Arabidopsis thaliana: one gene and its partners. The protein of the gene in region 1 interacts with the protein of each later gene in a pairwise test. Each region holds a gene or a part of one and is shown in the gene's direction. Other genes may lie near its edges.

What was found.
Region 2: the proteins of WIT1 (region 1) and WPP2 interact in a two-hybrid assay, tested with the Arabidopsis thaliana proteins (one study listed by BioGRID).
Region 3: the proteins of WIT1 (region 1) and WPP1 interact in a two-hybrid assay, tested with the Arabidopsis thaliana proteins (one study listed by BioGRID).

What each region holds. Positions count from the first base shown.
Region 1 is NC_003076.8:3,629,595-3,641,616, forward strand, and holds WIT1 (WPP domain-interacting protein 1), read left to right. Parts: upstream 1-4,054; 5' UTR 4,055-4,183; intron 4,184-4,364; 5' UTR 4,365-4,376; coding exon 4,377-4,974; intron 4,975-5,075; coding exon 5,076-6,265; intron 6,266-6,365; coding exon 6,366-6,545; intron 6,546-6,680; coding exon 6,681-6,824; 3' UTR 6,825-7,019; coding exon of another isoform or gene 7,020-7,330; 3' UTR 7,331-7,340; downstream 7,341-12,022. Other genes in the region: AT5G11370 (FBD / Leucine Rich Repeat domains containing protein), read left to right, coding at 1-123; DXPS3 (1-deoxy-D-xylulose 5-phosphate synthase 3), read left to right, coding at 578-730, 885-1,010, 1,099-1,266, 1,380-1,527, 1,669-1,937, 2,083-2,350, 2,435-2,691, 2,781-3,059 and 2 more; AT5G11400 (Protein kinase superfamily protein), read right to left, coding at 7,020-7,330, 7,419-7,528, 7,682-7,748, 7,833-7,971, 8,074-8,279, 8,384-8,465; AT5G11410 (Protein kinase superfamily protein), read right to left, coding at 8,837-9,150, 9,238-9,355, 9,438-9,574, 9,658-9,793, 9,902-10,128, 10,211-10,289; AT5G11412 (RNA-binding (RRM/RBD/RNP motifs) family protein), read right to left, coding at 10,755-11,282. UniProt on the Arabidopsis thaliana protein: Together with WIT2, required for the nuclear envelope docking of RANGAP proteins in root tips.
Region 2 is NC_003070.9:17,294,556-17,304,641, reverse strand, and holds WPP2 (WPP domain protein 2), read left to right. Parts: upstream 1-5,812; 5' UTR 5,813-5,918; coding exon 5,919-6,461; 3' UTR 6,462-6,811; downstream 6,812-10,086. Other genes in the region: CYCA3;3 (Cyclin A3;3), read right to left, coding at 1-20, 101-253, 357-589, 763-966; CYCA3;2 (cyclin-dependent protein kinase 3;2), read right to left, coding at 2,058-2,129, 2,212-2,346, 2,445-2,628, 2,714-2,866, 2,951-3,183, 3,265-3,606. UniProt on the Arabidopsis thaliana protein: Regulates the mitotic activity in roots. Plays a role with HSP70-1 in facilitating WIT1 nuclear envelope targeting.
Region 3 is NC_003076.8:17,283,968-17,293,986, reverse strand, and holds WPP1 (WPP domain protein 1), read left to right. Parts: upstream 1-4,028; 5' UTR 4,029-4,260; coding exon 4,261-4,728; 3' UTR 4,729-5,022; downstream 5,023-10,019. Other genes in the region: CYCA3;1 (Cyclin A3;1), read right to left, coding at 1-75, 163-389, 464-760; AT5G43068 (uncharacterized protein), read right to left, coding at 6,842-7,081; AT5G43066 (uncharacterized protein), read right to left, coding at 9,180-9,404. UniProt on the Arabidopsis thaliana protein: Regulates the mitotic activity in roots. Plays a role with HSP70-1 in facilitating WIT1 nuclear envelope targeting.

The sequences.
Region 1 (12,022 bases):
TTGATTGTTTCAAAGTTGGATCCACAAAAGGAGCTTGAGATGAAGAATGAGTTATTGTCTTCATGTGGTTCAACCACATGCAACCTCGACCTCGTATTCAAACAATTCAACGATCTTCTTTGAATCATTATATTTTATATATATATAATACTCGTCTAACAATCTTGCAATAACATCATTGGATTTTGATCTGTTTAAAGTTGTTGTTTTATATATTGATGATTTTTAAGTTCAACGATAAATTTTTAAATCGTAATTATAAACATGTCGATGTGAAACAACAAAAAAATAATAATCAGAATTATGGATTAGGCCCAACTAAAATCTAATTGGGTTCTTTATGGGCTTTAATTTATATCTGAATGAAAAATGTTCTTCCTCTTCTTCTTCTTCTTCTCTCTTTACCAATTGCTCTGGATTCTCTCTCGCTAAAGCTTCTCCATTCTCCACATGTCAACATTTTGGGCGTTTTTCGCGGCATTTGTTTCGAATTTCTTGTAATTTTTTCATTTCTTCTTCAGAATTATATCATCTTCCTCGTCCGTTGTAATTGATTTTCGAGGCTTTTTTTCTCTTAATGGGTTCGGCTTCGATTGGTTACCAATTCGGAATATCAGCTCGATTTTACGGCAATTTTAATCTGAGCTCAGATATTACTGTCTCCTCGCTTCCATGTAAACTTGATGTTTCCATAAAAAGCCTATTCTCAGCTCCAAGCTCCACTCACAAGGTAAAGGACCCGTCTTTGTTTATCTCTCTTAATCTCGTTTATGCCAATAACACTAAAGTGCCAAACTTTCAATCTGGGTCTCGTTTATGAATTGCGGATTTTGGATTTTTTTTGCCATCGATGGAATCTCCTAATGTATGCGTTTGATATCTAGGAATATTCAAATCGAGCTCGGGTATGTTCTTTGCCAAACACTGATGGATACTGCGATGAGAAATTTGAGACGCCAATACTAGACAGCATTGAAACTCCATTGCAGTTGAAGAATTTGAGTGTTAAGGTGGATTTCTTCATGTTCTTAACCCATATGTAGTTGAATGATAACTTGAAGGGCTTGAGTTTAATGGGGATGGTTTTTCTTCTCGTAGGAGTTGAAGTTATTAGCTGATGAAATCCGTACGGAGCTTCATTCTGTATTATGGAAGAAGACCCAAAAGTCTATGAATCCTAGCTTTGCTGCAATAGAGCTTACCCTTGCTCTGCATTATGTTTTTCGTGCCCCGGTTGACAATATATTGTGGGATGCTGTGGAACAAGTAAGCTTATGTTTTCAAATTCAGGGGATTGATGATTAGATTTTCTTATGTTTTGGTACAAGGGTTTGATGAGTTTCTTGTGGTGTTAACAGCATTTTTTTTGTCTTTTGTAGACATATGCACATAAGGTCTTGACACGACGTTGGTCTGCAATACCATCGAGACAAAACAGTGGTATTTCTGGGGTCACTTCTCGTTTGGAGAGTGAATATGATTCCTTTGGAACCGGGCATGGCTGCAACAGTATTTCTGCTGGGCTCGGTAATAATTTCGTCACCCTTTTTAAAGAGTCCAGTTGCCTATAGTTTTAGCTTTTTACTTTTTTTGTAAAACAAGAAGTAGACTTAGCTAATTAATGCTATTATCGATATGGTATGCTGAACGTTTATTTCTGTTTCTTAGGATTAGCGGTTGCTCGAGATATGAAAGGAAAGAGGGACCGGGTTGTTGCTGTGATCGACAATGTGACAATAACTGCTGGTCAAGCATATGAGGCAATGAGCAATGCTGGTTACTTGGATTCTAATATGATTGTTATACTGAATGATAGCCGTCACTCTTTACATCCAAATATGGAGGAGGGATCCAAGGCATCCATCAGCGCACTTTCTAGCATCATGAGCAAAATCCAATCTAGCAAAGTTTTCCGGAAATTTAGAGAATTAGCCAAAGTATGCATTTTCCATACTCTCTTTTTGAAACTTTGTAGTTGCTTACAATTATGAGGCTGGAAATTTGGTGTTTAACAATTAATGTTGACTAAATATTTTGAAGCTCCAAATTTGGTGTTTAACAATTTGGTGTGGATTTTGACAGGCTATGACGAAAAGAATTGGAAAGGGAATGTATGAATGGGCAGCCAAAGTCGATGAGTATGCTCGCGGTATGGTTGGACCAACAGGATCAACTCTCTTTGAAGAACTTGGTTTGTACTACATTGGTCCTGTTGATGGACACAACATTGAAGATCTAGTTTGTGTTCTCCGAGAAGTATCTTCTCTAGATTCAATGGGTCCTGTGTTGGTCCACGTGATCACAGAGGGAAACCGAGATGCAGAAACCGTAAAGAACATCATGGTCAAAGGTATATCTGTCTGGTTATGTTATTTTTTCTGAGAATATATGCTTATCCAAAATCTTGACTTTGTAGTTTTTTTTTTTGTCTCAGACAGACGCACTTACAGTGATTGCTTTGTTGAGGCTTTGGTGATGGAGGCAGAAAAGGATAGAGATATTGTTGTAGTTCATGCAGGAATGGAGATGGATCCGTCACTTCTTACATTTCAGGAGAGATTTCCAGACAGATTTTTCAATGTCGGAATGGCTGAACAGCATGCTGTCACATTCTCTGCTGGTCTTTCTTCTGGAGGTCTCAAGCCATTTTGTATTATTCCCTCTGCTTTTTTACAAAGAGCTTATGACCAGGTTTCACTTTCCTCTAGCACAAAATAAAATTGTTCTAAAAGGTTTTTATTACAAGCAAATGGCCTTAGTGTCTTTGATGGTTTCTTTAGGTGGTCCATGATGTAGATCGGCAGAGAAAGGCGGTGCGATTTGTTATTACAAGCGCAGGGCTTGTTGGATCCGATGGTCCAGTGCAGTGTGGAGCTTTTGACATAGCTTTCATGTCATCCTTACCAAACATGATAGCCATGGCTCCAGCCGATGAGGATGAGCTTGTAAATATGGTTGCAACTGCTGCTTATGTCACTGACCGCCCAGTATGTTTCCGGTTCCCTAGAGGCTCCATCGTCAACATGAATTATCTTGTCCCCACTGGATTACCAATTGAAGTAAGTTCCAATCTAATCTTCAAATCTTTTGGTTGCAAAAACAGACCGTGGTGACACAAGAACTGCTTTATCATATTAGAGTAGATCGGAAGAGGAAGAGTTCTCGTAGAAGGTCAAGATGTGGCTTTACTTGGTTATGGAGCGATGGTTCAGAATTGTCTTCATGCTCACTCGCTTCTCTCGAAACTCGGTTTGAACGTGACTGTAGCTGATGCAAGATTTTGCAAACCCCTAGACATCAAGCTTGTGCGTGATCTTTGTCAGAACCACAAATTCCTTATCACTGTCGAAGAAGGCTGTGTTGGAGGGTTTGGTTCTCATGTGGCGCAGTTCATAGCCCTCGATGGCCAGCTCGATGGGAATATCAAGGTAGAGAGACAAATCAAAACCTCATGTTCTCACCTGTTTTTGGTTTTAAGTTGTAATTTTGCTCTTAACATTGTGTAGTGGAGACCCATTGTGTTACCGGATGGCTACATAGAAGAAGCATCGCCTAGGGAGCAGCTTGCTCTTGCAGGGCTAACTGGACATCACATAGCAGCAACCGCTTTGAGTCTTTTGGGCCGAACTCGTGAAGCATTGCTTCTCATGAGCTAGCTTAACCTTCTCATATGGGATTTACCTTCACAAGAGACTTAAAGAGGAGTTTCTTAAACAGAATTTGTAGATAATACATTCTGAATTCAAGAGCCCATTTGATATCCTGATTTTGGAATAGCAATCTGCTATGTATTGTAAATGTAGAGTTGAGAATTGACTAAAATAAATTCAATTACTTTTTAGGCGGTATCTCAGTTTTCATATTCTCAGTTAGTTGTTGTTGTTGTTGTTGTTGTTGTTGTTGTTGTTGTTGTTGTTGTCAAGTCTATTTGGTGTAACAGTCGCATGTCCCAAATCTGGAAACAAACAAAATATAGAACAGAGACGTGTATTTTCGATACTCGAGTTTTTTTTTAATAAAAGCATCTTAAAAAATTAGTAAAGAGTTACTGTCAAACAATATTCGTTTAATTACAAATCCGAGTCCTTCTTCTTCTTCTTCTTCTCGATCTCTGTATCTCTCGATCATTTCCTTCTAAAGGAAGCGTCTTTGATCTTAATCGTCGTGTCGTTCGTTTCTAACTGTAAGTTTTCTCCTTTTCATTCATTTTGCTTCAATCTCGATCGGAATCAAGTAAAAAATCGGAACTTTTACCTAGATTTCCTCAGGAATCGAAAAGTTCTTGTGATTTAGCAGAACCTCTATTGTTTCCGATCTCTTAATTCAATTACTTGACAAAAGTGATTATACTTTCTCTGTTGCAGTTATATTGAAAGATGGAAACAGAAACGGAACATGATAGAACTGTCTCTGTCGATGACAACGACAGCCTTGTACCTGAGCCAAGCTCAACGAAAGAAAGCTTTTTTGAAGATCTCTCGCTTACTGGGCAAGTTATGAATCCTCAACTTTCAAGTGCAGGCGAAGTTTTGACAAAAGTTGAATTGGATTTTGCTTTTGTCTCTGAGAAATTGGTCAATCTTAGTCTTCTTACTATGCAACTCGGCACGAGGGAAAATGATTTTGAGTCTTTTGTTTCTAAGAAAGAAGAAGATGAAGAAGAGCCTTCGAGTAATGTTGATGATGATGATGATTCTGCTGAGAAGGCATTGGAGTTTGATCTCTTGTCTTCAATTCTCAATTCAGAGGTGAAAGAACTTGAATCGCTTCTTGGTTTTCTCCAGAACGAGATTCAAAGCGCCCGTGTCATGATATCTCCGTTTCAACATGATGGAGAAGCTTTCTTGGATTTGGAAGGGAAGTTGAATGATACTGAACAATCTTTGGGTCAGTTAATGGAACAAGTAGTGGAAATGAAGAAGCAATCTTCTAACTTTCAGAGGTTATCTTCTGGTTTGGATGAACAAGGAAGCTGTAAGTGACCAATCTAGCTTTCTTTTTAACCTTGTTGTGATGATCACTTGGTGAGAAAAATTTCAGGCTTTAATGAATACTATATAACTTTGTTTTTGCAGGGTCTGGAGGGCAAACTTCAGTGTCTCAAAACGATGGTGAGTTTGGTGATCTGAGCGCTAAGATCAATATGCAGACTGCTGATCAGCAAAGGAATGTTTTAAGGATGCTTGAGAAATCTTTGGCTAAGGAGATGGAACTTGAGAAGAAACTAAGTGAATCAAGAAATACTGAACGAGAACTAGAGATGAAACTGTATTCTTCTGAGCAGGATGTTGTCTACATGGAAGAAGTAACCGAAGATGCGTTCTCCAGGTGGCTTGAGGCAGATAATGCTGCTGAAGTCTTTAAGGGAACGTCAAAGGAGATGTCTGGAAAACTCCAGATTCTTCAGTTCAATCTAAGTGGCTCTTTTAAGCGGGAAGACAACTTGAAGTCTAAGCTTGTTGATTCAAAGGAACGTTTAGAAGCTAAGGAATGCGCCTTGCACAAGCTTGATAGCAGCAATGCAAGACTTGCTGACTTTCTTGTGGCACAAACAGAAGGCTTAAAAGAGAGTTTGCAAGAGGCTGAAGAAAAATTGATTTTGTTGAACACTGAGAATTCCACATTAAGTGAGAAAGTTAGCTCCCTTGAAGAACAACTGAATGAATATGGGATTCAAACAGAAGATGCGGATGCTACTTCTGGTGCTCTGATAACAGATCTTGAACGTATCAACGAGGAACTGAAAGATAAATTAGCCAAAACTGAAGCAAGGGCTGAGGAAACAGAATCCAAGTGCAAAATCCTAGAAGAAAGCAAAAAGGAGCTTCAAGACGAGTTGGGGAATTTCAGAGACAAGGGCTTCACTATACATAAGTTAGCATCGCTTGAGAAACACTTGAGGGACTCAGATCTACAACTAGAACATGCAGTTGCAGCTGTTGAAGCAAGTAAAGAAAAGCAGAACTTGTTATATTCTACTGTTTCTGATATGGAGGATGTGATCGAGGATCTAAAATCAAAAGTTTTGAAGGCTGAAAACAGGGCCGACATTACCGAAGAGAAGTTGATCATGGTATCTGAGTCTAACGCAGAGGTCAACGAAGAACTGAAATTCTTTAAGGGTAGATTGAAAGAAGGGGAGAAATATTTACAGCAAGCAGAAGAAAGAAAATTGCGAACCGCCAAAGATATCGGGGTACATAACAAGATCATGAAAAAACTGGTCATGCAACTAGCTGCTGAACGAGAACGACTTCATAAACAGGTATTACCATATTCGTAAAACCCCAGTTCGCTGTTAGTTCATGTCCTTGTAGCTTCATCATCATCACAGTGGATTCTTAGATATAGTGACTTATTTGCAGATAACTAACCTGTCAAGAGAGAATTGTGTGTTGATGGTGAAGTTGAAAAAGGTTGGAAAAACTGGTTATATGGAAAGTGGCAATGGAAGTGAAGTTTCACCAAAGTCGGACCAGAATGCTTCTTCTTGCCATCAAGGAAGTAGACTTCAAGCCACCTTCATTTCATTAACTAATCCAGAGGTAACATAATTCTACCTTACAAAAAATCTGATCTTTTGCTGGCATCTAAGTGAGTTATACCATTAAGCTTTAGTCCAACAATCGAATATTATGAATCTAAGCTTGACGTTAGTAACCGTGGTCACCTTTTTGTAGGAGGAAGAAACAGGTTCAAAATCAGATATTGGAAGTGTAAGGAGATTAGATGTTGGAGCTCTTAGGTTCAAACACATTCTCGTTGCAATACTCGTGATCTTAATATCGTCGATAGCTTATGTTATATCCCAGCAAAACATGTAAGAGTCTTTAACTTTTTCCAAAATCTCAGTCTCCAGTTTTGTACTCTCTTTGTCATAGTTTACAATGACAGATTATATTTTAGTTCTTTTTGGCTACCCAGTTACAGAAAATCTGCTATATAATTAACCCCGACACTGGTATTTTGTGTTATTACAATATCTTTTTCAGTGTCAAGTATTAGTACCTCTCTACACATTAGTCCTTAATCTCTGCAATATGATTAAGACCATCCAATACTTGTTGCATCAATGGCCGTTTCTTTGTATTATGCGCTGTGCATCGGTTGATGAGTGTGCCCATCTGTGTCGCCGCATTCGCAGAATAATCGCTCCCAAGTCGGGGATCGATTATTTCCTCAATCTTATAATTATCTGGCAAGAAAGATGAGGTCCAGTAATCTACTAAGCCTTGCTCTTCCTTAATCTTTTTTCTATCCTTGGAACCCATTAAAAGTTCAAGCAAGATCATACCAAAAATGTAAACATCGGTCGTCATATCCAAAATACCTAACACATACATTACACAATTGTCTTAACGTTGAACAACGAAAGATTTTTCAGAATTTGTAAAACGAAAGTTAATGCTTTCGTGTACCTAACGATCCCCATTCAGGAGATAGGTATGTAAATCTTCCCCTCTTGAGACCTTCATCTACCAAGCTTCGTTTGGTTGGTTCGAGATAGAACAGTTTTTGCATTGTATTGCTGATGAAATCCAAACTTAGATATTAATTTCTAAGATCATAAACAAAAAGAGAGAAGAAGGATGGAAATAAAACAATTACCACCTCGTCAAGCATAATGTTATGCATCCTGAGTTCTCGGTTTAGGGGGCTGTTCTTGATCGAGTGAAGAAACGCGAGACCTTGAGCTGTTCCAATGGCTATCTTAACCCGTATTTCCCATGGCAATGCCTCTTCTTCTTCTGTTGAGGGAAACGTAAAACTATAGGTAATGCAATAGTTGTCTATATCTTAGAATGGACCCATTAGCTAGAAAAGATCTTAACTTCCGAAAATGTGACTGTCCAAACTTCCTTTGTGCGAGTATTCAAATACCAAGAAGAATGGTTTGTTGTCTTCACAACAGTAACCCAAGAAATTGACCAAATTCTGATGAGACAACTGTCCAAGAGACCTCACTACTGCCTGCAACTCATAGTTTTTGTACCCATCAGATAAGTACACAAGACTAACAAGGAATAAGAGATAGGTATCAATATTGCGTAAAAATGAACAGACTTTGCTTACCATCCAGTCTTGTAAAGAGCGTGAACTATCACATTCCATGACAGAAACAGCGATTCCGGTTCCAGCTCTTGATGGTGCAAATGTGGTTTCATCTATGTAGCCCTTGTAGAATTTTCGAACAGAGTAATCCTCGCATTCTACGACCCTGTCTTGTCTGAATTTCTTTGTCGCTTTCTTCAATCCGCGAATCTGAAGACTCTCAGATTCTCGTTTTCTGGCTCCACTTTTCATATATACGTATAAATCGAACAATGTATTTAGACATTATTCGTAAACAAAAAGTATAGTGCTTTCAAAAACAGAGATATACCTGAAAATATTGGAGGGATAATGAGAGGCTTGGGAGCAATTGAAGGAAGTTGTTGTTTGAAATGCTTTAGACAGTTTCCCATTGAAGGAAAGAAGAAGATGATTAGAAAGATATGTAGATTTCTGGCTTCAAGATTTTAACAAATCTTTATAGGGTTTTAATAAGAGTTTGTAACTTATTAAAGAAGCTACTAAAAAATAGGTTTAGACTGGCCTCAGAATTCAACCCTTTGAAATTTTCAATTTCTCATTCAGGCAAAACAAAGCAAAAGACATAGAAGGCAAGTTTGGGTATGTCTGTATCCATATAAGGCAAGTTTGTGGAAATTTTTCTAGGACTCATTTATAGAATGAAAGAAAAGAGTTGATGCGACATAGAAGGAGATTTTATCTTCTTTGTTTCAAACTTTTATTCCAAACTTGTTCAGCTTCAAATCTCATTAACTCTTACACATTAATCTTTAATCTCTGCAATATCATTCAAACCATCAAAGACTTGTTGCATCGATGGTCGTTTCCTTGTGTCCAACTTGATGCATCTTTTGATGAGTTTTCCCATTTGTGTCGCTGCATTCACAGGATAATCGTTCCCAAGTCGAGGATCGATGATTTCCCGGATTTTAGATTGATCAGACAAGAAAGGTTTAGTCCATACATGTAAGCTTTGCATGTTCTCATTCTTTTTACCATCTGAAGCTTTCAAACCAGTTAAAATCTCTAACAATATCACACCAAATGTATACACATCACTCTTCGTTCCCAAATGACCTAAGAACATTACACAACTGTCTTAAACATCGAACCACGAAAGATTAATTAGAGTGTTCGTTAACAAAACTTAAGATTTTGGTGTACCTGAGATTACATATTCAGGAGGTATATATACAGTTCTTCCTATGAATGCAGTCGTCACGCTTTCTTCTAACAAACATAGTTTCTTTGATCCAAGATAGAACAATTTTGTGTTGTAGTGCTGATGAAATTTATAAGTTCAGGCATTATTGTAAGGTTATAAACAATAAGAACAGCAAGAAGAGTGTTCTAAAGTCATTTACCTCGTCAAGCAAAATGTTATACATTCTGAGTTCTCGATATAGCGCGCTGTTCTTGACCCAATGTAGAAATGCAATACTTTGAGCTGCTCCTATGGCTATCTTGACCCGTGTTTCCCACGGTAATGCTTCTTCTTCTTCTGTTGAGAAAACATGAAACTGTAAGGCAATATTGAGTATACTGATTTTATAAATGGACCCATTGATTAGAAGAGATCTTAACTTCCGAAAATGTAACGGTTCAAACTTCCTTTATGCAAGTATTCGAAAACTAAGAATGATTTGTTTTCTTCACAACAATAGCCTAAAAGTTTGACTAAATTGGGATGAGAAATACGTCCAAGAGACTTCACTTCTTCCTGCAACTCAATAGTTTTTGTACCCATCAGATGCATAAGTAACTAAACAAAACATACATAAATAAGATCAAAGAGATAGAAATAGTAGTTGCGTAAGATTTTGGTTACCTTCCAGTCTTGTAGAGTCTGCGAATTATCTTGATAACATTCCATGACAGAAACAGTGATTCCAGTTCTTGATGGAGCAAAGGTTGTCTCATTGATGCAGCCTTCGTAGAATGTTCGAGTAAACCCATTATCATTACCTTTTATGACCATGTATTTTCTGAATCTCTTTGTTGCCTTGTTCAATTCGGCAAATCTAAACTCTTTCAAATTCTCCTTTACTGGCTCCACTTTTTACATTTATAAGACGTATTAAGATATTATTATATATGTAAACAAAAGTAGAAAGTGCATTTGAAAACGGAGATGTACCTGAACTTGAAGGGATGGTGAGAGGCTTGGGAGAAGCTGAAGGAGGTTGTTCTTTGAGAGGCTTTAGACAGTTTCCCATTGTTGATCATAAAGATGATAAATCTGTAGATTTTGATTTTTATATTTTAATAGATCTTGTAGGTTTTTTTATGAGGTTGAAAATGATTTAAGTGTGAAAGAAGCTTCAAAAAAGGTTGGGCTGTCTCAGAATTCAACACTTTAAAAAGTCAAGTTCACATTCAAAAGCCAAAAGAATCCACAGTATTTACTATTTACTATGCCAATGTCTATATAAATGCTTATAAGGCAAAATTTAGAAACATTCTAGAATAAACAGGGCTTGAAAAATTAGATTCTTGTTCTCTGTTTGGAACAGAAGAGATGCAATGTATATAAGAAAGTAAACATAATTAGATTAGAATCATGCAGACTAAACAGCCTGAAATCAGAAAATAGAACAACAAGTAGTGTCTCAGACAACAGCGAAAGAGATGGCTCATAAGTCAAAAGCCAGGTTGGTTCAAGTAGTAAGGACCAGGTTGGTTCACGTAGTAAGGGCCATGGGGTGTCCAATAACCATAAGGTGTGTAGGTATGATATTGGGGTGGTGGAAACTGGTCCCAGTTGGGTACATAGGTAGTACTTGTTGTTGTTGGGCGTTTTGGTTATTGTTAACCCTACCACCAATATAAGCAAGATTGCACTTGGCCTCTCGTCCGTCTATGACCGGTTTTGGATTCTGGCAAGCTCTCGTTGCAGATTCAGCATCTCTAAACGTGACAAAACCATAACCCTCTGATCGTCCCGTTTCTCTATCGCAAACCATATTAACATGTATAATATCTCCAAATTGTTCGAAGTAACTTCTCAAACCTTCGTTTCTTGTTTCCCAAGGCAGACCTCCCACGTATATCTTAGTGTATCTAGTGTCAACGTTTTCGTTCGCGTAATGTTGAGCCACGTCTCTGTCACAAGTATCAAAAAAAATTAGTGACAAGAAAGTTCCAACAATTAGAAATACATTTAGAAAATCCAACAATCGGAGAAAAGTACTAGATATGAAAATCTTCATTATGCATACATACTTTGTCCAATAAAAAATAGGAATTAGATACTAGAAAATTGGAAATTAAATAGAGAATTTAGGGGATGTATTGAAAGTGGAATTTTAAGAGATTTGTGTAGAATTTATAAATCCTATATTATAATGATTTTAAAAAGTTTCATGAAATTCAGTGTTATTGAACTAATGATTTCAAAATCCATAATTTGTGGATTTGAATTTTAATGATTTTGGAAGATTTGAGAGGATTTCCTTAGTTAAAAATACAGAAATCTAAATCTCATAGTTTAAGGTGAAATTTGAATGGATTTTACAAAAATATATGAACTTCTCTAAAATCATCAAAATCATTAAAAAAAACTCAAGAAAACACAAATCAGAGACATAAAGATAATAAGTAAGAGAGGATTCCACGTATTAGAAAGAGATGAAGATAATAAGTAAGAGAGAATAGATATGTTTTTAATGCACGAGAAACAATTTCATTACCATATATCTGCAGAGTGCGTATATGTGAAGTGAGAAACAAAATCACAATAAATATATATGCTCAGTCGCTCAGGAACAGAGAGACAAAAAGAAACAACCGAAGAACAAAGAGGAAAATTTACCCTTATCTCTAATATATCATGTGTCAGGGTTTAGGGAAATTATAGAAAAGAGTTAAGCTCACTTTTCCTTTTATAGGTTAGTTGATGAAAAATTTGATGGACCCAAAATGAAATCCAAGCCCAAGCCCATACCCAAAG
Region 2 (10,086 bases), on another chromosome or scaffold:
GTGCAACCCTTATGAACCGTCTGCACAAACACAACAAAAGATGAGAACAAAGAACCATAAGATACAACCAAAAGTCAGTATTATTCATCACAATTCTAACCTTAGAAAAGTATTTGTCGTAGGCCTTCCTAGTTCAAACTCAAGCGCGAGAAGTATATCCTCTTCCATCTTCAACACATCTTGTTTCGTATAAGTATTAGCCGTAATGTAACAAAAATCCTCCACTTTAGGGCGACGTTTCTCTTCATACTTCCTATTTATATCAAATGCCAAAAAAGAGAAGCCACTCCATATGTAAGTTTCAACATGACAATGAATAGCAAAGAGAGTAATACAAGAGGATCAAAAACACTTACGAAGCGATAAACATTGCAGAAACTCCCACAAGCTGAAGCCAGTGCTCGTTAACCATCTTTAATGACAAGAATCTATCAATGTAAGAGACAGTGAGATAGAGTGTTTCAGACACGAGTTCGAACTCTTCAGCAACTTCCACTAACCAATCTACCAAAACACCTCTCTTGCTTGGTGTTATATCTTCTTGAATCTTTTCAATGTAATCATGTAAAGGTCTTAGCTTTGGCTTCACCTGAATATTCACCAAACCAAAAACACAAATCTTCAGAACATATCCACAAATTCTAAGTCCAAACAGAGAACAATCATAGAAACTCTTCAGATAAAGTATACTAAATTGACCTATTGAAACTTGTCAATGTTCTAAGTCCAAAAACAGAGCAAGTAGGAGATCTTATTACGTACCTCTAATTCACGGAGATACTCGTAGATATCTGAGACATAAAGTCCACACATCTGTGGATCATCAGACCTAGCGTCAATGTCAGAGCCTGATTGAATGTTCTCTTGAAACGCAAGTAGCTTATGTCGAATTTCCGCCCACTCTACCGGGGAAGCATCTTGAGGGTTATGGTCGGAATGAATCTGTTTATCTTTCTTAGACACCATATTTATCGAAAAACAAGAACACATCTTCGAAAGAACAACAATAAATCTTACACTAAGTCCTATATATAGAGTAGAAGACTCTATCCTAAAACAACCAGGTTTCAGAATTCAGATGAGAGATGAGACAGACTAAAAAAAAAAGGAAAATTAAACCAAAGCCCAAAACAATAACTTGTTGAACACGAAATCCCAAGTAATTAAAAAAAGGAAATTAAAAAAAAAATCGTTCCAAAACGTGTTAATTTAGAGAAATTACCTTTTTTTACTTGATTAAAAATCTCAAAAAGTAATTACATATAATTATCTTTTTTTAATCTAAAACTTGTAATTTTACTTTGGAGAAAATTGTAAAGTAGAACCCTAATTATAATTTCGATTTGATTTGCTTATTCCGCTGAGTTAGGCCTAAACGAGAACGCTACAACTTGTGAAGTTTTTGATTTTGCAACCAACACTTGGAGGTACGTTGTCCTGCATCCCCTTATCTGGTTTCTCACACCCAAGATCCTGTGTATGTTGATGGCTCACTTCACTGGTTCACACGAGGGTGAAAGTTGAAACCATGGTTTTGTCTTTGGATCTTCACACCGAAACTTTTCAAGTCATCGCTAAAGCTCCCTTGTTTCTTGTTTCTCAAGTTTAATCTCTCTTTAGTAAACTTGATTATCAATCTCATAGACAATCTTTTCTTTTCTTTTGTTTCTTGAGATTTTCATTAGTTTCTTTAAATTAACAACAATGTCTTCTAGAGTTTTAGCCCTCTAGGAATTTTCATTAAGTATAAACATACAGTAGTAGGCTCAATGCTTAAACAAAATAAGATCATGTCACATAAATACTTATATCATATTGCATAATTGTATAAAATTATATTATTCCGAATTTCACACTAAAATTTTGTAAATAAAAAAGAAGAGATTTCAATAATACATCACACATCTTCACATAACGCAGACTTATTTGCTCCTGCCTTCACTTCTATATTTCTTACTCTTCTAGCTTCACTTGAAGATCTGTGTCCATTATACTATTTGAAACAAGATTCGGTAATCCAGCTCCGTAACATTTGCTTAAGATAGCATAACCTCAGATCAAATGGTAACATCCTCCCAAAAGGTAACCGGCAGCTCTGGTGAAACAGGCATGGTCGCAACGCATTGGAACTGTACCGAGAAGAAGCAACATTAAGTATCAAGAAAGCTCTGCTTATTCAAATGATTTTATCAATGTGTAATGTTTAAGTACCTTATGGTGCTTATATTTCTCTCTAACAGCTTGTAAAGCACCTCCTCTTCTGCTCAAATACAAGTCATGTATGATTCCAACACACACTTGTAGATCAGCCGCTTTGTACTTTGTGTACTCTTCTAACATTTGGTTCTGTTTACATATTCACAACCATAAATCATTAGTGTCTCATTCTAAACAATGACCACAGCAGACTAAAACCTGAAAGAGACTGAGACAAATATGCTTACCCAAGGATGTTGTTTCGGACGGATGATGAACCGAGCGAGAAAAACAGCAGAAGCAGCCAACAGAGACGGCACAAACTTCACAGTCTTATAATCTAATATACTCAATTCTGACAAATAGCAACAAAGAGGCTCTAGCTGCAAATGTGGAACTTTGAAATCGTCTTGTGCAACTCTAGTAAACCGTCTACACAAACACCAACACACAAAATCAGAACAATGAAACTAAGACAAACCAATAAGTAATCATCACCAATACACACAAATCTAACCTCATAAAAGTATTAATCGTTGGTCTTCCCAACTCAAACTGAAGAGCAAGAAGTATATCAGCTTCCATCTTCACAACATCTTGTTTCGAAAACGTATTATCCGTAATGTAACAAAAATCATCCACTTTAGGAGGACTTATCTCTTCATACTTCCTACAACATTTCAATACTTCCATTAGCTTCCATACATAAACAATGACAACAAACACAAGAGAGGAAGAATCATAAAACACTTACGAAGCAATAAGCATAGCAGAAACTCCAACAAGCTGTAGCTTTTGCTTGTTAACAGTCTTTAAAGACAAGAATCTATCAATATGTGAGACAGTGAGATAAAGTGTTTCAGATCCAAGTTTATACTCTTCAGCAACTTCCACTAACCAATCAACCAAAACACCTCTCATACTTGGTGTTACATCTTTCTGAACTTTCTCTATGTAATCTGGTAAAGGTCTCTGCTTTGGCTTCACCTGAATTCACCAAATCCAATTCAGATCCAATTCAAGAACTAAGTAAATGATTCTAAATCCAAAACACAAGATCATTATTACCTCAAGTTGACGAAGATACTCATAGATATCAGCAACATAAGGTCCACACATTTGAGGATCATCAGATCGAGAATCAATGTCAGATTTTGATTCTAGGTCAATAATAGCCACCGGAGCTGACTTAATCTGTTTCGCCGGAGGAGGTTTAAGATTCCTTTTTGGCTTCTGGGTTTCTTTCTTCTGATTGAGATTAGCCAAGAGATTGACATTGGAGACGTTTAGAAGCTCACCGAGAACAACTCTCTTCTTGTTGACCCGATCTCCGTCAATACCCATCGCCGTCGAAGCTTTTCGTTTCGCCGCCGCTCTTGTAACCCTCACGCAGATCTCTTGCTCTGTCATGATTGAGATGAGATTGAAGAGAGAGCGAGAGAGTGATGGGAAGAGAGAGTTTGAGATTTGAGAGGATTGAGAGATCGGATGAGTGGAAGAAGAGAAGGTGAGAAGGGGAAGAAAAAGGGAAGAGCAAAAGCGCCATTTTTTCTGATTGTGGCGCTCTCTGTGATTTTTTTGGAGTTTGAGTTTTTTGGGAGTCAACTAAAAAATTTTGGAGGTGCGAAAATTCTCTGAAATTTGTTTGGGCGGGTGATTTATGTTTTTTTGTTTTCAGATTTTGCCTGAAAATGTTTTTGACCGGTAAAGATTGGGGTTTTGGCCGTGGTGGTTCGATTCAGAAACAAATTTGACATTTGACATTTTTGTCCCTTCGAAGACATCTGTTAAATTTATAATTTAGATTGTAATATTTTGTCTTTGACAAAAAAAAAAAAAAAAAAAAAGATTGTGATATTTTGTACTTTACTAATCTTATATTTTTTAATAAAATATTTAGAATTGTTAAATGTACAATTTTCTTTAAACAAGATCATGACTTTTTAAAACTAACTAGTTTTTTAGGGTTTTTTTAAATAAAATTTTGATCCTTTTTTATTTTTTTTTATAGTGATTATTTTATAATTTTGAGAATTTTATGTTGTTTAGTATGGTCTAAATTGTGAAAACGATTACAGAAAAAAACAAAGAAGATATAAAGACCAAAATCTATAACTAAATAAACTTACGAAAACTATAATGAAAGCTAAGTGGAAAGCAGCTAGCATAGGTTCGATGAAGAACATCAATGTTGAACCGTGAGGCTCAGACATTTGTATAATTGTCCCATCTCCAACAAAAATTGAATCTTCATTATTGTTACCACGAGCAATTTCTTTATGAGGTCTATCTTCAAAACCTTAAAACAAAAAGACGCTAATAGTTTTTTTGAGAACTAACACAAAAACAAAACCGCTAGAATAGACTTACCTGACAGCAAAAGAGCATCTACGAACATCCAGAAAAGCCGCCTTTGGCCACCAAAGGCCACCATTCTCAAGCATAAAACTAGAAAAATCAGTTCCCACAATATAATATAGACATTCTAGACCAAATCACCGCTTCTATCCAACACTGAAAGCTCACTGGAACATCATGCGGAACAAACCTTTATCCTATCAAAGTGAAGAAACACAACAAACAATCAAAAACAACAAAGACACCTCCTTAGAGCAGAGCCAACCCAAGGCAAATTCAAGGTGAAGAAACGTTGCGAATATACATTCGGTTGAGAAACGATTATGTTTTCTAATTTCTTCTAAGCTCACCAAATATCATAATAGACCTTGATCACCTTTTAACTAGACTCAAAACTAATTTTACTCATCATCCACATGTTCAATTGATCCTCCACCCAATATATTTTTCAAACTTGATTGCCAAATAGTTCTAAAATAAAAAAATCTCTTGACTGCTTTTTTATGATGTAAAATTTGTTGATTGGTAACTAATAATTTACAATGAGAATGTGACAATATACAAAAACAAGACATAACAAAACAGATCAAAGATTTGAGGACAGATCTTGGCAGTGACTAATGTAGGGGTCTCGTCACATACAAAGTTTGAAGCAATCTTTAAGTTTTGGTTTCTCGTAGTAACACAATGACATGATGCGAGAGTGAATGGTTTTCTCGATCATGGCTAGAAGCTGCATATGGGTCCGACATTTCTTGTTGTGAGCTTCCTCTCATTCCACTCTCTCCAAAGATAATACAAAGTCGCTTGAAAAGATAGTCGAATGAGAATGTAGTGGTTATCGTCATTTATGATTATTACCCTATTTAGATTTTGTAAAATAATATTTGGATTACCTAAAGATTAGTTCAGTTGAAAATAATTTGTAAGAAAAAATCAAGTTACCCTACTTATTTTGATTTTATATATATACTATTTTCCACAAAACATTTATATTTAAAACATTTATTGTATTTTATATACTGATATTATCTTCATCTGATATCAATAAAATTAGCTGAAATTTTTATTATTAATTGTATTTTATGTAATTAATTTAAAATAAAACCGTAATTAATTCATAAAAAGATTTGAACGTAAGTTTAAGATTATAACTGAAATATTTATATTGACTATAGTTTTCTCCACCACACAAAGTTTAAATTTCAAATACTTCCTGAATTTTCGGTTATTTAATTATTTATAATAACACCGAACCAAACCAATCAATGTCTAAACTCTAAACTCTAAAGACTTTGTCATTTCGTGAACCGTCGTCATAACTGATCCTTCCAAAGAATCTCCAAAATCCCTAAACTTCGAAAATGGCAGAAACCGCCGAGACAATCAACACCACGATCTCATCGCCGCCACCGGAATCCGAAAGCTCCACCACTATTTCTGCAATGACAGATCCAACATCTCAAGAAGCAGCCTCAAAAGACACAGATCTGACGAAAGAAGCCGAATCAGAGAAGAAACCAGGAGGAATCTCTCTCCGAATCTGGCCACCGACTCAGAAAACTCGCGACGCCGTTCTGAATCGCCTGATCGAGACCTTATCCACCGAATCAATCCTCTCTAAGAGATACGGTACTCTTAAATCTGACGATGCAACCACCGTCGCGAAACTTATCGAAGAAGAGGCTTATGGTGTTGCTTCGAATGCTGTGTCGAGTGATGATGATGGGATTAAGATTCTTGAGCTTTATTCTAAAGAGATTAGTAAGAGGATGCTTGAATCTGTTAAGGCTAGATCTAATGCTAGTGTTGGAAATGGAAGTGTGGAGGATGCTAATACTGATGCTAGTGAGGTTTCTAAAGATGATGCTGGTCCTGCTTCAGAGGAGGAGAAGAGTGAGGCTTGAGAAATTTGGTTTTACTTCCTTATTATAATCTCTTGTCTCTTAGGGTTTTGCTGTTCTTGTAATGATGATGATGACTTGTGGATTTGGTATTATGCATATTTGAAGATGTTTCTTCTTCCTTAATATGAGTGCAAGTGTCTTCATTTTGTTGCTTGGTTTGGCTTTATGGGATTTGATATTTAACAATAATGCATCTTTGTTGGTAAATTGTTTTCCTTTTCTGCTATGTGTGTTTTGGATTGCTTTGATTGATGTGTATTCAACAACCACATCGTTTGATTTGTGTCATTCATTGTGTAATTACGGTTAGTATCATCGGGTTATGTCTTTGTGAATGTTAGAGTGGTGTGTTGAGTTTATTGTTTTGTTCAGTTTCTTTAAGCACATTTGCATCTTTGCTTTGGTGACCATTAGTGTCTCTATGCAGCTTACCATTGAGTTATGTAACGTTTTTTAAATTGGGTTACAATTACGATTAAGCTGAAGTTCTGTTACTTTTCAGTGGTGACAGGAACATGTGAGTTTGTCTTACTTTGGTGTATGCAGCTTTCTATGGCTTATAGGTTGTGTAGTGTTTGGTCGATTGGATTTGGAGTTCTTTAGAACACACCATTAGGATTAGGCTGAAAGTTCTTTGGATTTTTCAGTGATGACATGAACTTGTGGTGAGTCGGAGCACGGATTAAGTATCTTTAGATTTTATAAATCCTCAAGTAACTAGTTTGATGAACCTAATTACATCAGAACATGAAAAACACTGCCTACAAGTTTCTAGTGGTTATGTCATAGCGGTTTCTTTCTGTTTTTACTCTGTTTTTGTATTCCTATTCTATTGGATTAGATTTTGGCCAGTTGAATTTTAAACCAAGTTATGTAATGTGTAGATAGTGTTTGTTCTTATGTTGTTTTACATAGAATTAGAGGATGATTCCAGTCTATTTTCTCCTTCTTCCTTCTTCCTTCCTATGCTCAGGTGGGTATGTTTCGAGTTCATTGACCTCTGTATTCGTTTAATTTAGTAACTGAAACAATTTCACTGATTCTTTGATATTCTCTCTAGTCTTCTCTGGTTAGTGGTTAGGGATTACAGTCAAAATAGAGTTTTAAAGTTCGCAGTTCTTCCATACAGAATCGTCATGAATTTCTTTATCAATTCAAGAATCCAAAAAACAATGACTTAGAAAAACATACATAGTTTATATGTAAGCCAATAACTTATAACTACAGTTACATAGTTTTGTTTTGTGATGTGGAAAGGAGATTAGATAAAATCAAATGTAGGTTTAGAAATCAGAAATTTTTTGGTTTAATACTTTTATTCATAAGTTACAAAAAGCAGGCGGATATGGGAATAACCAGATTGAAAAAATGTGAAATAGAAACTATGCTTATTGGTCAATTGATTGATAAGATCTCAGCCAAACAATTTTTGTCATCCTGGATGACCCCATCATCACAAATGGGAGGCTTGGTCAGTAAAGAGATTGAGATTATATTGTTTGCTAGAAGGGTGATGACCCTTTTTTGGCAGAGCAACTTCATGCCAACAAAAAATTCAGAAGTCTATAATCTGTGTGGTACGCTAAGCGTTGGCTTTTTTTTTTTAAGACAAGTGTAAGCGGAGAGGTGATCAACTGATCATGAAGCTTTGTAGGAAAAGACACGTGAGAAGAAAAACTCCTATATTAGCTTCCACACATGTGCTTCATGTCCCATTCACCAAGTGTACATTCTACTTTTGGGAGTATATTATTTCTTTAGATCCAAAGAAGAAAGATGTACCTTTGTTCTAATTGGATTATTCTTTTTAATTTTCAACGATCTTGTTTTTAGTATTAGGATTAGAAGAGTTAGAGCACCTCCATCAACAATATTTTTTTTTTCTTCACTAGAATGGTAAATTATATTGATGAAATAAGTTCTGAATACAATAGGCGGCAATGCAATCAAACCTTCCAAAGACATAAGCCGGCGAGTACATGTAGACTCCTAGAAACAAAAATCTAATTAAGAAAAATTAAAGAGGAAATAAACTCAAACATACAAATACACGCATCTGAACCAATCTTCTCGGAATCCAAACTCAAAAAATCAAAAATAAAATTACAAAGTCTAAATCACCATAAAAACAAACAGATTCACACTAAGGAAAACAAAACCAACAAAACCAGGACTCTCTTTACCACAAACGGCGGTGAACAAACAAACACCCCGCGACCCAAATGATGATGGTCATAAGAAGAAGAAAGGAGATCGAGATCTTCAAAGGAGAGAAATCTACTTCTGAAGGCGGTGAAAGAACTCGCCTCTGCCGAGGTTCGAACGGCCAGAACTGGTGCTGCACATAAAAGGGACAAAAACAAGCAGCAAAATCCAAAGACGAAAAATTTAGAAATTGTAGATTTAGATCTGAAATTTTAGATCTGAAACCGTTGGAAAAAAAAAAGGTTCAGATCTGTCAGAGAGGAAGGAAAACAAAAACTAAACATGAAGAAACCAAGAAATTTCGGTTCTGGTGCTGAAAAAGTCACTGGGACCGAAACCCTAGCAACAACGGCGGCGACTTTGTTTTATAGAGAGAAGGAGGAGCGTTTGTCCCTCCATCTGCAATATCTAGAAAAGATACTTATTATTAAAATAATATAAAGTGGTGAAAAAGAAGAGAGAGAAGTGAGAATCGTCTCTGTTTTCAGAAACTCTGAGAGACGTTTCTGGCCACGTGTTTTTTCAGGAATGGTTGATTTTCTTTTTTTTCATTAAAATTAATAATTTATCTGAATTCAATTAAAATAAGCAATATTTTATTCATGAGAAACTCTTTTTTGAGAATCTACCAATGTAGATGGCCTTATCATCCTAGGCCCTTGACCACTTAGCTTGATGGTTTTAACCAGCTCAACCGATTATAATTGGAGTCTCCGGTTTAGTTTCATTTGGGTAATATTCTATGTCATTTGGTCATTTGTAAGATGTCTTAAGCTCTATATGAAACAAATTTTGTGTATTTGTATAGTTATGCCATTGGAAAGCAATCCAAAAACCATAATCGAATCTTAAATCAACTCAAAGACATCTTGATCTCTCTTTAAATATTACCTAATTGACTTTTTGTTTGGAAAATCATGTGATCCGAAATCAGATATCGCCATGGAATCTCCAATTTTGGTTTTTAAACCGAGCTTCCTCTATTCATCATCTTCATCGCCCATATAGTCCTCCTTTATCAGCTGCTGAATTCCAACTCCAACACTGATCATTCATCTCCTCCAAAATCAACGAATCTCCTTTTCCATTTTATTTGTTTTCTCCATATGATAACACAAGGGTAGAAGCGTTATTTTACAAAGGAAGAAGTGCCGGTTTTCGTAATCACTTCTGCAATGTTTCGGATCTTATAAGTTTTTAACTTTATGATGCCTTGCATACAATTAACTCAATTATATTTGGTAAATTTGGATGTCTACATAAGAAATATAACAAAAAAAAAAAAACAGAAGACCATCATCGTTCCTTAACAGAAAGAGGTAAATAAATTGTTCAAAATATGATACATTCATAGACAAAGGTATAATTACTCTTGTCATTTACTTAATTATTGGGGAAAGGTTTTGTCATTCTGTGCAAA
Region 3 (10,019 bases), about 14 Mb from region 1:
TCTTGTTTCGTGTAAGTATTGTCTGTGATATAACAAAAGTCATCCACATTTGGAGGAGTAATCTCTTCATACTTTCTACAAATTTTTCAAAACCAAAATCCAAATAAACAAACCCACACAAAAAAAGAGAGATTCAAACAAACAAAACAAGAAAAAGCTTACGAAGCAATAAGCATTGAAGTAACTCCCAAAAGCTGAAGCCTTTGTTTATTAACAGTCTTGAGAGACAAGAATCTATCAATGTAAGAAACAGCGAGGTAAAGAGTGTCTGAGAGAAGTTTGTATTCTTCAGCAACTTCTACTAACCAATCAACCAAAACTCCTCTCATATTCGAAGTTACATCTTTCTGAATCTTCTCTATATAATCAACCAAAGGTCTTGACTTTACCTGAATTGTGTTAATCGAGAAACTAACTCAGATTGTGAAATCTAGAAATCTAGAGATGGGTTTTGTTTCTTTACCTCTAATTGACGAAGATACTCGAAGATTGATGTAACATAAGGACCACACATTTGTGGATCATCAGATCTTGTGTCAATGTCTGAATTTAAGGTTTCGATTGTCGGAATCGAAACTGATTTCTTCTTCTGTTTTGTAGTGGCTTTTCGAGATTTCTTGATGTTGGACAAGTTTGGAAGCTCTCCGAGTACGACTCTCTTCTTGTTGATTCGTTCTTTGTCTATTGCCGCTTCCATGGAAGCTTTTCTTTTTGTTGCTGCTCTTGTCATTCTCACGCAGTTCTCTTTTTCGTCGGCCATGGTTGATTGGATTCAAGAGAGAGGGATTGAGATCGAGATTAGGTGGATGAGAATGGAAGTGAGAAGGGTGAGAAAAAGAGAAGAAGCGAAGAGACATTTTTGTGATTTTTTGGAATAAAGTTTGGATTTTGGCGGTTTTTCCGAATTCTTTACAGGTTTTGATTTTTTGAAAAATGAAGCTGAATTGTGTTGGCGCGATGTTTTGATTAGAGTTTTGAGCTTCGAAATTTTCACCGGGAAATGTTAAATTTGGTATCACAGGAAGACCTAATTCGTAAACGAGGAAGATGATGATGCAAATTGTCAATGGGCTTGTTTATTGGCCCAATATGTCTTGCCCAATAGTAATGTTTTTAGGAAATATTCCCAAAAAAACCCGAACTATTTAAAATCTGCCAGAAAACTACCTGAACTTTTTTCGTTGTCAAAAAAATATACAAACTAATTTGGATTGAAAATAAAAAACACGATCTATTATTTTTTTCCGATTACCTCCCTTCGCCGTAACGACCGTTAACGGCGTTAACCAAATCGGTTAACATTTTCAATTTTATTTATAGAAAATTTCTGAAAAAACCACGACTTATTTAATATTTGCCAAAATAATACCCGAACTTTTTTTCGCTGCCAGAAATATATACAAACTAGTTTAAAGTTGAAATAAAGAGCATGATGTAGTTTTGTGTTCCAATTTCACTCACTTTATCGTAATGGTTACAAAAGGTTAACTAAATAAAAATATATTTTTTCATTTTCTTTACACGTGGTAAATAAGAGTGGCGATAAAGCCGATTTTATCCCCTTATAAACCCATAATCTATGTTGAACCTCTTTGAATCCTAGTGTTAATATAACACATCTATCCATTTCAGATATTAACCATAATAAACTGAAGAAATTAATAAGAAGAACTTTCGTTAACAAAGGGAGTATTTTTTTTTTTAATTTATTGTTGCTTACATCGAATCTAGATATACGATAGATATTTTAAAAAAATTTAGTAATTTAGGATAAAATATACCCATCAATAACATGATTTTGGTTGATATTACTCAAGATCTTAAGGTTTTAGAGGATTGCTTTAATAGTCAAGCTTTTTTAAGAATTTTTGTAAATAAAATTAACAATATTTGACAATTTGGTTAGGGAAATCGAAAAAATAAATATAGATCGTGTATTATATTTCCAATTTAAGTTAGTTTGTGTATTTTTATGACAACAAAAAAGTTCATGTATTTTTTTGGCAAATATTAAATAAGTTAGGTTTTTTTCCAGAAATTTTCTGTAAATAAAACTAACAGTGTTTGACGATTTGGTTAACGTCGTTAACGGTCCGTTACGGTGAAGAGAGGTAATTGGAAAAAAAAAATAGATCGTGTATTTTATTTTCACTCAAAATTAGTTTGTGTATTTTTCTGACAACGAAAAAAGTTCAGGTAGTTTTCTGGCAGATTTTAAATAGTTCGGTTTTTTTTTGGGAATTTTCCCAATGTTTTTAACACAACAATTTGTTTTGTCTTGCCCAATGAGATTGAACAAGACCCAAAAAAGAAAATTTTCAATTCTAAGCAACTGTTAAAAATATTTATGGCCTCATTGCCTGGTGGATAAAGCCGTTCATAGTGGTCTGATTATTGCGGAGAGAGTTTGTCCATCGCAGGGATATCATACATGTACAACCATTCATAGAAAATCTGAGTGTTGCAGGGAGAACTGTACCGTGGAATTGTTGCAGATTGTATGTAGTTGAATACCACCATCATATGACGTAATAAGAAAACAAAAACAAAAACATCTATAGCACTAAAAATAAAAAATGTTACAACAGAAACAAAGATTTTTATGGAATAAATTTAAGAATTCTTAAATTTGTATTCTGAAAAGAATCTATTTAATAGAAAATTGGTTGAGAAAATTTAGCTAAATTTGTTTTTTTTCCCTATCCTTATAAAACTAAATCTTTTCAAAAGTTTGGTAAACTAGATTTCATTTTTATAGAGATAATGTATTTTTATTGACCAATTCATATTAAATTCTACTAGTTTATTAATGTCATAAAGTTCGAAGCTATTAGAGAATAACGTAAATCTTCTAGCATATACTATCATAAATTCAGCGATCTTGAGTACACATAACACCGTGATTCTTCCATGTTCATCCCATGTTCTGGTTTATGTTATCATAAATTCAGTGATCTTGAGTACATAACACCGTGATTCTTCCATGTTTTGGCTTATATTATCATAAATTTAGTGATTTTGAAGACACATAACACCGTGATTCTTCCATGTTCTTCCATGTTGATCTTGAATACACATAACACGCAATATAACATTTATACATATAACGTAAATGTTTTACAATCATATACACTAGGTTTTCTAAATTCTTAAAAATTGAGTTGAACTCTTCACCGCGAAACCTCAATTTGACATTTTAATAATATTTTTTTTACGGTAGCGAAAAAGAGGTACATTGTGTATTATTTTTGACTTTGTATGATTACTTTATATTTTTAAAAGTAAAGGGTAAAGTTTCAGAAAACTCTTACCAACATCGAAGAACTATTTTACTTGAAACCGGTTTTGGTAACTAACGACTCAGATAATAAAGTGAAGAACCGCATATTGGGTAATGATATTTCTGGAAAACAACTTTATACTAAACTCCTGATTATCCATGTGACTTTTACTAATCAGTTTTGAAACAGAACAAAAATAAGAGAACTATATCAAAAATAAAATAAAATATGATATCATCAGGGTCACGCTCAAGTCCAAGACCAAACTAGGTGAGGCTAGAACCTTTAATCTTTTTTTGATAGGAACAGAACCTTTAATCTTCCTTACAAATTACGGCGAATGCAAGGTTGAAGACCATCAAATAAGGCATCAAAATACCTTGGGGGAAAGCAAATACATATGAATTTGATTCCTGAACCGTGCTCAATACCGTGTTCATACATCAACATTTAAATTTGATTCATAATCGTTTGCATTTCACACTCTAGTCAAAGAACTTCTTAATATTACATCCAATCTTTGAGCCATTGCTCGTAAAATGCTCTATATCTTGGTATGACAAAGCAAGGTCACGTTTTGGTTGCCACAACAAATTAAAATCACTAAGATCTTATACTAGTTCTTCTTGCAAATATCGTACAACATGATGAACCACGCTCTTCATCTCTGTATGACAAAGGCAAGGTGTCTAACTCTATTTAAATATGTATTCAATCTTTCAAACGTTTTGTCTTGATTTTTTGAACATAAAATTTTGAAAATGGGTGACTACGAAGGTTTTTTTCACATGAATATACTTTGGTTACCGATCGGTCTGATCATTTTAAAAATAAATCACGCTTAATGTAACGCACCACCCAATTCTTTAAACGACACCGTACCAAACCTCTCTTATCAGTTATCACCCACCCACCACAACATTACTGCCACAAATTTCAAAATCCCTAAAAAGCTTTCAAACAAATAAACTCAGAAAAAATGGCCGAAACCGAAACGGAGTCGATCACCACCTCTTCTCCACCGCCGATCTCAGAAACCGAAAACTCCACCACATTACCAACAACGGAGACGGAGAAGAATCCCAATCCGGTAACCATTTCCCTCAGAATCTGGCCACCGACTCAAAAAACTCGCGACGCCGTGATTAACCGTCTGATCGAAACACTGTCAACCGAATCAATCCTCTCCAAGAGATTCGGATCTCTTGAATCCGAAGAAGCTTCCTCCGTCGCGAAATCAATCGAAGACGAAGCTTACGCCATCGCTTCTGCCACCGTATTCGGTGATGACGACGGGATCGAGATTCTTAAAGCTTATTCTAAAGAGATTAGTAAACGTATGCTTGAATCTGTTAAGGCTAAGAGTAATGTGGCTTCTCCTCCACCGAAGGATGGTGATGGAATTGAATCAGCTGTTGATTCGAAGATTGATTCAAGTGAAGCTTGACGAGGCTTGAATATGGTGTTGTTCTCTTATCTCTAACTATCTTTTTATTTGTTTTAGATTGGTATGCGATTATCTATCTCAGAGTTTTGTTTGTTGTATAACTTGTGGATTTGGGACCTGTTACTAATATGATTTTGTGGTTGATTTGGTTTTGACGTTTTAATTTCCATGGTAATTAACTCGTTAATGGGATGATTTCGCTTGCTTAATCATGGTAAAAGAAAATTTTTGGATAATTATCTGTCTTAATCATATGGTAATTAACTCGTTAACTTGTGATTTAATAAACTCTTGAATTATGGTGATTTACTTGTTAATTGCAAGGTTTTACACTTTCTTAATCATGGTAATTAGCAAGGCTTGAATATTAAACAAAAAGGAAGGATTTGGCTGATTTTGCTTTCTTAATAGTGTTAGCAACTCGTTAAATACATCTTCATTTTGACATATGCGTAGTATTTTTTGTTTAGGTATTCGAGATCACATGAATCTAAACCATTAGAGAAACTAGACATTTTTGTAAGATAAGTAGTTTTAATTTTATGGTTTAGGTGACTATTGTGACAATGAAAACATATCTCCCCTTACTTTCGTTAATTCTTTTGGGTTAGAAGCATAGTGCGATTACAACTAATGAACTTTTACAAAATTTGAAAGTTTTTTTTTTTGGATTCAAAAACTGGAATTTAGTTGTTCATGTGCATTGGGCAGTCAAATAGTTTTTTTCTTGGAACCAGAAATCTGCCTTTGATATGTCCTCCTGACTCTTTCTTTGTCTTTACTCTTTATTGGTTTTGGAGCCTTGGAATTCGAGAGTTTAATTTTAAACCCCACTGTTTTTGTTCTTTAGTTACCGTTCCGGATTCAAATCCTTTTTTGGTTCCCGCTTGGAGTAAGCTAGACAAAATTCATTCATTCAAAGTCACTAGAAAGATAATACTAAAAGAATCAATATATCTATGGGAGTGCTTTCTTAAACTCTAGAAAAGATGATTCCATTTCCAAAGACAACATCAATAATATTCAACGAACATTTAGGAAAAATTTAATAAGACATGTATTTCATAATGGTTTTGCTTATAGCTTATTCTACTAAAAAATTAGAATAAACGCACACACCAAAGCTACAACAATGATAATAATATTTAAGTGCTTAATTTAAACATAACTTTAATAAATTTATTCTTATCATATGAATATAGTGTAATGAAAAATGGTTTGTATTTGTTATTTTTGAAACGAAATTATTTCATCTATTTAAACGTCATTGAAAACCTTACATATCAACAAACACTATACATGTAAGTTGTAACGTAATAAATTAATGGTGATTTATATTTTCGACAAATAAATATATTATGATCGTTAAAGTTAATGATTTATATTAACGTTTTAAATTTCAAAAAAACTAATGCAAGTAAGGATATTCAATTTAGTATAACAGATAGGTGATTAATTTTATGTCAGCTCAAAATTTTAAACCACATTATTTGATATGGGGTTCAAAATTCACATATATATGGTTCTAAGAAAAAAAAACTCACAAGGTCTAAATATTTATACATATAACTATATCAAATTGTGAAATTTTAAAAAGTCTAACTCACATTTTTTCTAGAAAAAAAAATATTTTATTTCTTGAAAGCTAGAAAAAAATATTTTATTTCTTGAAAAATCACATTTCTAACATTAGTTTTAATGTATATCACCACTAAATATCAATAAAACTATTCTTCAAGTGAAATTGATGGCCAAATCCGGGACACTTTTCTAGGCAAAAGGAATATCCAATGCTTCGGAAACCTTCTACAGACTTGGTTTATGTGGCATTAAGCTATATGCTTTAGGCTAATCCTTGTTTTTTTTTTTGGCAAGTATGCTCTTAGTTGGTTACGCTCAAATTTTGGTAAATAATTACAAACCCTCTCATTCCATAAGGATATTTCTATTTATATAGAAAAAGCTCACAAATCAAGACTATATTAAAAACTATGAAACAATACACTAATTAGTTATTTGCCTGAAAGAAAAATACTTTTCTTTTCTTTTCTTTTCGACGGGCTGAAACAAATCTTTCGATTTACACTTATCGACCAAAGGTGGTAGTTGTTGATCAGTGACCACGCCCTCTTCTGCTCGGCCCAGACGCTAACCGGTAAGCAAAGCTCTTCCCCAAAGGACGTTGACTTGTCGAGTTGTTCTTCACCTTCATGATCACCGACGATTGATCATGGCCTTTAATATCTCTCAACGCCTTTGATCGTAGAGCTCTGCAATCAACTCTCTCAAACATCAATGATGACCCCACCAATAAGAAGATCACAAACAACAGAAACACATTCTTCTTCTCCATCTCTTATAACTTTTTTAAAAAAACTTCTTTGAGTTCTTTCGCTAGCTTCTTCTTTTCTCTTTCGATACTTGTTCTCTTTTTTTTCTTTGAGATTAAGAAGAATGTCTTCGTGATTTTATATGTATATATGCGATTGTGTGTGCGTGTGTAAGCGAAGGGCATTATTTCTTGACCGAGAATGTTTGACTATTTGATTTTGTGTATCGCGTTTTTACATATTTAATTGAAGTCTTCATGTTTTCAATCTTTTACTATTTATAAATAAGACGGACAAAATAATTGACGTGTATTCATATTGCAAGTCGAACGAGTTTCTTCAACTACCACCTCCTTTGGCCACAAGGTATGTTTGTTGAACTCTGTGACTTTAATAAAAAGCTATATATGTTACCATTGTGATTTTTGAGAGCTAATCTAATGGTAATTTCAATAGTGTTTGTAAAAATTGTAAATATAAATTAGTAAATTTCTATCCGAAATATTAAGAAATATGTGGTAAAAAGAAAAAAGTAACAAAGGAATGTACATTCACAACACTAGTTGTGTCGCCTTTAATTTGTTGGTTTGTATTTTAGCCACCCTTAAGTCATGCGCCATGAAAATCTAAAGATTTAAGGAATATGGAAAAAAAGGCACTACCAAAAGTTTAATGATTTATTTTGTATTTTAGTTTATCAAAAAATGAAAATATTTTTATATGTAACACTAATACAGTGAGAGCGTTTAGATTAACATTGTTGTTGATTCTTTAATTTGAATATTTATGAAAGTAGGCTTTTTAAAGTTGTTGATTCAATGAACGCAGACTGGAAATAAGGACACGTAAAAACTATAACTGGAAGATATGAACCTAGGAAGTGAGACGGATATATGCGGAGGGGCAGATCTCGTTACGGCTTCTATCACCTATTTCTTCACTAAATGGTATTTGGTTCAAAATTATATAGAGCTGCCTAGAACCGTCTAGGAACACACTGAGACCCTTTTAAGATCGTTGAACTCATCTTAGTAACAAAACCGTTTAATTTTAACGTCTTAAAAAAAATCCTTACCATCCATAGCCGCCTAACGTACAAGCGCCTACCTAGACATTGCAGAAAATGCTTGAACTAATTAGTGTAGCTTTCTATCCACAATTAGTGAATGCATATGCGTTTTAAAAACCAAATAATTGATAAATGTAAACATTATTTTACCTGCATCACTATTACTATTTCATTTGGAAATAAAAAATCAGACATTTACATGCAGTATATAGATCAATAAAGCTTGGAACTATTGTCTCACGTTAAATCTTCTTGAAAGAATCAATCTCTTCTTCTCCTTTTTTGACTAAAACAAAAACTTTCGATTTGCATATCAAAATCTAACAAAAAGGAAAGAAAAAATAAACTTCAGCAGAGAAAAAAGAAAAAGAAAAAAAGAAAAGCAAAGAAAAAGAAGAAGTGGAAATTGTCGATCAGTGACAACGCCTCCTTCTGCTCGGCGCAGACGCTAACCGGTAAGCGTAGCTCCTCTTTGAAGGGCTTCTCGAACTGTTTTTCACCTTCATGGTCTCCAGCAAATTGATGTTTGTGTATTCATATTATACTATTGGATTTCTGAATGAGCTTCTCCAACTACTTGCTTCTCATCAAAGAGGTGGCGGCCTAGTGGTAAAAAGGGGTTGGTTCCCTTGTGCCCCAATATTCTTTAAATCGTAAAATCTAAATGTTGACCAAAGGCCCGAAACTCCCATCGGTTAAACAAAGAAAAAAAAAACTACGTGCTTCTCCACAAGAGATGGTGTTGAAATCTGTCTCTATGACTTTCATAAAAAGTTGAAAGACACATTTGCTTAGTAAGAAATCAAAAGTGGGAATTGAAAGTAGTTAGCAAATAAATACGAAATGCATATTTGTTTTAGGTTTTTTCTACCATTATTGTTACCATTCCAATGGGGGAAAAACATTTACACTCATCAATGGATATAAAAGTTAGGAACTCCTTGAAAAAATCATTCTCTTGGCTGAAACAAAAACATTCGATTTACATATTTAAATAATCCAAAAAAGACAAAACAAAAAACATACATGTCGGAAATAGGGGTAATTGTTGATCAGTGACCACGTCCTCTTTTGTTCGGTCCAGACGCTAGAATCCTCATCAAAGGACGTCGACTGCACGAGCTTCTCTTCACCTTGGTCGCCGTTGATTGATCATGGCCGTTGATATCTCTGAAAGGCTCCGATCGTACGACTCTGCAATCAACTCTCTCAAACATCAACGACGAGCCCACCAATAACAAGATCATACACAGCACGAACATATTCTTTTTCTCCATTTTTGTAACTTTTTTTTGTTTTCTTTCTCTTTGGCATTAGGAAGAATGCTTCCTGATTATTTTTGTTTCTATATGAGATAGTGTGCTTGTATAAACAAAGGGCATTAATTCTTGACCAAGTATATGTAGGACTATTTCATTGTGCTTATGTTAGAGTATACCATGATTTGTGTTTATCTATATTTCCCTTATTTGTAGATTTACCCTAGTACGAGACCACTCTCTCTTTTACTTCTATATCTATTATCCATTACAAGAGATTCTCACATCATACAGTAATACAGTTATCGCGTTTTTACATGTTTAATCAAACTCTTGATCAACCTTTTAATTGTTTACTATTTATAGAAGCCAGAGAAAACAATTGATGTACATTTCATATTACAAGTGAATATCCAATGAGTTTCTCCAACTCCCTAATTCTCCATAAGAGATGTTGTTGAACCATGTCTCTATTACTTTCATAAAAGGTTGAAAATAGCATCCGTTTCGTAATTAACAAAAAAACAAAAAACCATTTTGTAATAAGAATTTTGTCCTTGAACCCAAATTTTATTAACCAAGTCATATCAATTTCCTCATTCTTCCTCTATGGCAAAATCCTTCCGCAGTTTA